Linked DNA regions of Tribolium castaneum. The protein of the gene in region 2 interacts with the protein of the main gene of each other region in a pairwise test. Links are inferred from orthologs where the notes say so. Each region holds a gene or a part of one and is shown on either strand. Other genes may lie near its edges.

Evidence for each region.
Region 1: the proteins of CycT (region 2) and Cdk9 interact in a two-hybrid assay, tested with the Drosophila melanogaster proteins (2 studies listed by BioGRID). The link is inferred for Tribolium castaneum from reciprocal best matches to the Drosophila melanogaster genes CycT and Cdk9.

Annotation. Positions count from the first base shown.
Region 1 is NC_087394.1:32,585,318-32,589,555, reverse strand, and holds Cdk9 (cyclin-dependent kinase 9), read right to left. Parts: upstream 2,573-4,238; 5' UTR 2,347-2,572; coding exon 2,240-2,346; intron 2,170-2,239; coding exon 2,085-2,169; intron 2,038-2,084; coding exon 1,661-2,037; intron 1,604-1,660; coding exon 1,336-1,603; intron 1,137-1,335; coding exon 843-1,136; 3' UTR 665-842; downstream 1-664.
Region 2 is NC_087396.1:19,989,607-19,992,528, reverse strand, and holds the end of CycT (cyclin-T), read left to right. Parts: coding exon 1-581; 3' UTR 582-1,025; coding exon of another isoform or gene 1,026-1,103; 3' UTR 1,104-2,283; downstream 2,284-2,922. Other genes in the region: Prp38 (pre-mRNA-splicing factor 38), read left to right, coding at 2,860-2,922. UniProt on the Drosophila melanogaster protein: Regulatory subunit of the cyclin-dependent kinase pair (CDK9/cyclin T) complex, also called positive transcription elongation factor B (P-TEFb), which is proposed to facilitate the transition from abortive to production elongation by phosphorylating the CTD (carboxy-terminal domain) of the large subunit of RNA polymerase II (RNAP II).

The DNA.
Region 1 (4,238 bases), on a different chromosome or scaffold from region 2:
AAATTTGGTGACAAGAATTGTTATTTATTGTGTATATACAGAATGTCTTAGATAAATTCAATTTAATGTTAAGTTAATTAAGTGAAGGAGGGGTTAAATTTAACCGCGCCCGAAAATGTAAATATGCCATGATTGATTAATTTCTCGTTTGTTAAGTTTGACGTCCTCCGCAATGTTTTACAATTAAATGTGATTTAATGTGTAATTTGTTGGGCATTCTGTGATATTTGCCTTCAAAATTTTACGGTTTCGTAATCAGTATTCTGAAAGGTCATTGTTATGAGTGGTTCATTTTATTTACCAGTTCTTTTTGCCAAAACTTTCGGTAAGCTCAACTAAATTAGCAACAGAGTTACAATGTTATTGCGTTAATTTAGAACAATTTGAAATGGGTAGGAAACTACATCTAATTAAATGAAGAGAAGACAATGATTATTGAAGTGCCTTGAATGAAGGTTTCTCCTTCAAGAATGTTATTTACCTATGTAGAGGATCTATGAAACAAGCTAACAGATATGTACAGATACATATATATTATTTTACAGATACATGTACAGTGTGCCATGTTGTTGAATTGTAAGGCCGGATGGCAGTGCAGTCAAACCAATAAAATATATAATATGTACTAACAAGTCATTTCATTCCACCCCAAAAAAACACCAAGCGTTTTTACACAGTTTATTCGCTATGTTAACTAAGTAACATCATATTAAACGTTACAAAAAGATAATAAAAAGTAACATCAAATTTTAGGGTTCCCGAAAAACCTTCAGTTATGTTTCCACTTTAGAAACAATTTCCACATTACTTGAAAATAACCACAATGTCCGTGTTTCTTACAACTAAAAAACCCTATCTTGGTATCCGCTGTCTTGCACAGCGGAAGTTGTCGGTCTTGGCAACGAATGATGCCTCATTTGTGTCGGTCTTCTCGGCGGAGCCAAATATTCAAACATGCTTTGAGTGTGAGTGGCTAACATTTTGCTCAAATCGCATGGCATTGGGTCAGTCCAGAAAAAGTCATGGTTGAGGGCCGTATCAGCATCGGCCCGTTTGGCGGGGTCGAGGACCAACAGCTTATCGAGTAAATCACAAGCGTACGGGTCTTTCATGTAGTGCTTCAGCCTCTCTTTCACCTGGAGAAGATTAAAAAATAATAATAATAAAAATAAAATCTGTGATCTTGTTTAATCACATTTTTTCCGAATTTATATGTAAATAATTACGGTTTATAAACTACAGTTCAGAACGTGGTGGAAACATTACCTCGTACAGAGGATTAAATAAATATTCTAGGCTTATAATTGAAGCGATCTTTGTTCCTACGGGACTTACTTTTCGCTTTTGGACGGGGAGTTCCATCTTCTTGTACAACTCCAGATTCTCAACTCCTGGCCAGACCTGGGGGCAGATGGTGCCACAAAGTTGAGAAATCAGAGTGAGCTGTTGTTGCTCGCTGTTGCCCTGCATTATGGGGGACCTTGTCCACATTTCGGCCATAATACAGCCAGCCCCCCACAAATCAACTGGGGGGCCGTAGTTTCTTTCACCTAACAACAGTTCTGGAGGCCTATACCATAACGTAACGACACGATTTGTAAATCTGAAATAGTAGATTACAAACTAGTGACCAATTTTTTAATTTACTGTTTGAACTCACCTATTTGGCAGTCCATTCTTATTGGTACTAAATGCACGAGCTAGGCCAAAATCGGCCAATTTTAAAACACCATTCTTTGTAATTAACACATTGGCGGCTTTCATATCTCTATGAAGAATTTTGTTGCTGTGTATGTAATACAGACCGTTAAATAATTGTTGCACTACTTTTTTTATCTCTCCTAGACTAAACTTAACGTGGACGTTTGACAACAACCCGGCCAAGTCGTGTTCACAAAAATCGAACACTAAATAAAACGTTGACTTGTATCTGTTGCGGTATGCAGCCTTAGTTTGGCATATTTCTATAAGATTAACAACGTTTTCGTGTTTCAATAGTTGCAAAATTCGTATTTCGCGCAAAGCTGTGATTGGAAACTAGAATACAAGTTTGAAAGCTTTGCAAAAAATTAATGACCCCTTACGCCCTCTTTTTCATTGTCCATTAACACTTTTTTCATTGCTACGAATTTCTTAGGATTACTTTTGTCCCTCGCCTTGAACACTTCACTACAATCGGAGAAATACAACAAATGGGGCACAATATGTGACCCCAAGTAACCCCAACTAAGTCACTTACCCGAACGTTCCTTGGCCAATTTTCGCAATTTTCTCGTATTTTTCCGATTCATCACAGAACGGGAAATGGAAATTTTCAATGTATTTCTCTTTATCTCGCATATTCATGATTGCAAAATCGCCTCTTGTCTAACGTTGCACAAGCTTTAGACAAGGCAATATTTAGCACAGTTTTTCGTCAATTAAGAAGAAACGTGTGAAGGTTTAAAACACCACATTTAAAGTACTTAAATGCATTTCCGCTGCTTTTTTCTGAATCACAATTGCACTAAAAACACACACAATCAAAACATAACCTCCAGGAATGACATATGACAATAGACAATGTCACGGAAAAAAAGCGCGGTTGGGTGAGCCTGCTCGCGAATGGTTTTCAGCTCGAAAAATACAGTATTTTATCGAAATTAAAAAAAAATCTACCAAATTGTAACACCAATTGATAACTTTTAGCATTTTGGCACTGCTACCAAAATGTTCTAACTACAAACGCAGTAAACCAACAAATTTATTTATATAATTATTTATTTAAAGAAAATAGGAAATGATAATATCATTATCATTCGTAAAAATTAAGACTTTAGTAATCAATATTAACACTTTTGCGTTCTTAATCATATTTTTTGTTGTGCCTTTTGTTGATTTAAGAAGATTACAGTTTTCTGTTTACGAATAGTACTTAATTTCATTTTGTGAAGAGGTCGCTGATATTCCATGGTCTTGAAGTGTCTTGATGGTACTCTGGGTTCGGAAAAAAGGGAAAAAAGGTACCATGACGTTGTGTTTTGTGTTTGAAACACTATTTTAAGTAAGAGCTTTTCAGATTTTTGAGAACTCTCCGCCGTTATATTCAAGTGTCGTCGAATTGTGAAAATTAATATTTTTCCTTGTCCTTCCTGTTTTCATCTTATTTCCTTCGTTTCCTTCTTTGGAAGAAGCATCTTCGCGTGTAATTTCATCGCAGGAGCAAAAGGTAAGAAGGAATTCCTAAATTAACTTTTTTGAAGACAAGCTAATTTTGGTCTGTGTATTCATTTTTGATACAAAGTGATCCAGAATCAATGTTTCAGTTGGTAGCAGGTTTTGAAGGAGTTGCAACCCTGTAACCGCCAATCGGACAAAAATTGGCTTGACTAATAATATGTTTAAAATGCCTAACAAGACTGTTAAATTGTTGTTAACTGGAAGGGCACCTCAACGGTACTACTTAAAAATAAATAGAATTTCTAACTGATATAAATCTTAAAGAAAGAGAATAATATTGTTTCTCTCCGAAGGATCGATTTATAATTCAATATGAAGGTTTTAATGGTTGAATAATTAATCAGGGAGCTTGCAATTAGCGATCATTCATATTTTGTGCTTATTGGTTTATAATTATTTATCAGTTGATATTATTCTTGAGTTTAATTTTTTTCTGAAAGCTTCTTGTGAGACAGAAACTTGAAGTAAGCTGCCACTTGAATTATACCAAATAAAACATTTCATTTTTCTTAAAATAACTACGTATCCAAATCCTCCTTGCGGCGTGCTGGGGGAATGAAAACCAACAGCTTAATGTTAAACATTTTATTTCTTTGTCTGAATGTGTCAAATACAGTGATATAATATTGTTAGATTAAATCCACATCCACATTTATAGTTAAGTAAAAAATATTACATACGAAACAATAACCGAAAATATTATGTTTAAAATGAATCGTAATAATTACACACATAGTTCGATGATTATACTATTGTACAACCCTACAACAAACATCTATACATTTGAAATTAGCGTAAATTCCTCCGCAGTTGGCTCTGCGGTGGTATTTACATTCTTTACGTAATGAGGGTGGTCAGTTGAAGGGATGAGAAGGATCAGTTTTGTGATTTTATTGGCAGTGGGCCGTAGAGGGTTAATGGTTGAGAGTGGTCTTTATAGGTGTAGACTATATTGCGCTAAAACAACCCAAGAGTGGGTCTTGCAAAATAGTCCACAGCCATAAGTGGGGCGAAACGAA
Region 2 (2,922 bases):
AGAAAGACAAGATCCAGCAAATGCCGAACCCTATCAAGATAAAAATCCCGAAAGACGTGATAAAGACTGAGGAGAATCCAGCGCCGGCGCCGCCACCAATCGGTCTCAAAATCAAGATCCCGCGCGAAATCATCAATAACTGCAATCCGGAAAGCGAGAAAAGCCGGAAACGGGAGCGGGATCGCAGTAGTCCGGCCGACGGCGGCCCCCCTGCAAAGCTCTCCCGCAGCAAGGACTCCAAACAGAACGGGAGACATTCGTATAATAAGGTAAGCGAATATAGTAAGAGTAGTGCGATGGGGGCGGTCGTTCCGCCCCCCGCCGCCCCCGCGTCCACCTATCACAGCGTGCCGCCGCCGATGTACACGCAAAACATGTACTATTATCCGCCGCATATGGGGGTGGGTCAGTATATGTATCCGGCCGAGAATCAGATGTACAATTATTATAATGGGGGATACGCGTTTCCGCCGCCGGAAATGTATCAGCAGGCGCCGCCGCTGCCGCCCCCGGCAGGGTCCAACCCGCCCCTGCCGATGGACGCGCCGCCGGACATACCGCCCCCACCGCCCCCGGAGTGATGTGTGCGATTTAGAGACACGATTTCGGACCTCGTGCTAGTTAAGATGACGTGATATATGAAGGGTTTAGAGAAATTTGTAAATAATTTATAAGAGTGCAATTTTTTTATCGATTTATACTTAGGATTGTACCGTGTTTTTGTTATTTTTCTGGTAGATATTACTTTGTTGAATTGTATCTATGTAGTTTATCTTGTAATTTTAAGCACTTTTTATAGTCTTAACACACTCTTTTATTTATTAATTCAATAAATAAGTCGACAATGAAGGAGATTCTTTTTTTGACGTGACTTGTGTAGTTTGTGCATGTGTTTTCATTTTCTGTTTGTTTTTGTGACGCTCATTGCATGGTCATGACTAACTCTGTCCACTACTAACGTGACCGGCTTACGTGTGAATGTTGGACCTAGCAAGGTCATTATATGGTTATTTGGTGCTTTGCAGGTGACACAACTGGGTGATGGCGATGCGTCCATACATAGGTTGGCCGAATCTAAGTATATCAACAAGAGTTCATCGTAGTAATTGCGACAAACGTTAACTATCATGTGTTAAAATCAGCCTAATGTATATAGTAGAAAACTTTTTTTAATTTAGAAAAAAATGTTTTAGATTTTTTATGTTTATATAATGTAATGGCTGATTGCAATACTGTTACTCTATTTTGTTAATTAAATTATTTTGTACGACCTCTCATTTTGTTATTAATAAATACTCAAAAGTGAAATTCGTTTAGTTTTATTTTATCACGGGTGGAAGCGGCTTTTCTGCGAGCGAAAATATTGCAGTCATGCCATTATTCCCCCCGATTTTTCTTGTTAGGAAGTTCGGCCTAAATCTTGTTATATTTAGATAGTGCCAACTGTCTTGTACAGCATTTTGGTCATTAGGTGATTCATGTAACCACATCTAAACATCATTCTCATGTGGAACAATAACATGCGTGTGACATTTTATGTTCAGTGTATTTCTTGTGCTTCTTTTGGTTTTGTTGCTTATGTCCGACTGATTAGAAACAAAATTCTAGCATAGTTGAGTGTAAAACTTTGTGATCCAATGGACTGAAATCTTAGGATGTGTTGGATTCGTCATGTATACAAAAATTTGCAAATATTTTAACGAATTTAATATTTTTAAGGGATAAATTGTAAATAGTTAAAATTTTATTTGATAAGTATTTATTATTTTGTTATTAATATACGATATATACGAAAACTGCAATTCTGGAAACTTGTACCTAAACAAAAATGAGAAAAACGAGTGTGTTAGGAGCATTATTTTATATTGTATTACAAACGTATATTATAAATAAAAAACTTAAATCATTGGAAATAAATATTCACGCCCACTTTTTAAGTTAGTTGGAATGTTTATCGGGCTTAAACAATCTAAAAAAATATAAAAACAAAAAATTCTTCGAAAAATAACTTATGTATATAGTCCACACGTTTGCTGCCTGTGTTTCACTGTTATTGTTATTGTATTCACTCATTCTGTTATTGTCTGTTTTCCACAATACAAACATTGCAAGACTTTCTACAGCAGTTGATTTTCAATTTTACTCCACTTCGAGGTGGTGAACGTGTTAAGTAATAAGTAAATAGACACTAAATTTATAATATACTTCTCAACAAACATAAAATAGACAAATAAAGCTAATGCCTAACTGTCTCAATGTCATCAATAAAGTTTTTAAAACGATCGCAAGTGTTTGAATCACCCAATCCCCCAAAAAGCAATTTTACATCTTTAACAATACCATCGATACGCTCATTTGGATGCGTTAATAATTTTCTACTTGCATAAATACTATTTATTAAATTATGAGCGTTTGTTCATGTTTAAATTAGAATGGTGTCTGGTGGTAATAACCAAAGTTACCAAAGGTTGGCACTTTTTGTGGGATTCCCACCCGCGAGTCACGCCTGGGGACTAGACGATATTAGCAAATAAGTTTTTATGAGAAATTCGGGAAACGTGAAACTTGTTTATTATTGAAGAACTAAATTGTTTCATACGTGTACTATTGTTTAATTTTGTAATGTATAACCTTAGCCTGTATTTCCTAATTGGATTATTCACACAGTATTATTTGTCTGTAATTTTTTTCACAATGCAAAGCAAAAAGTCTGATAAGAGCGAACCATTTTTAACCTCACTTTGTGTTTACTACAAGCGTCAACAATTTCTTAGAATTTATTGATAAACTGTGCATTTCTGTCGAATTCAGTTGTGCATAAGGTGCGTTAGTGAGTTTACAAATTAAATTAGGCCAATTATGGCAAATAGGACCGTAAAAGATGCCAAATCAATCCATGGCACAAATCCCCAGTATCTGGTT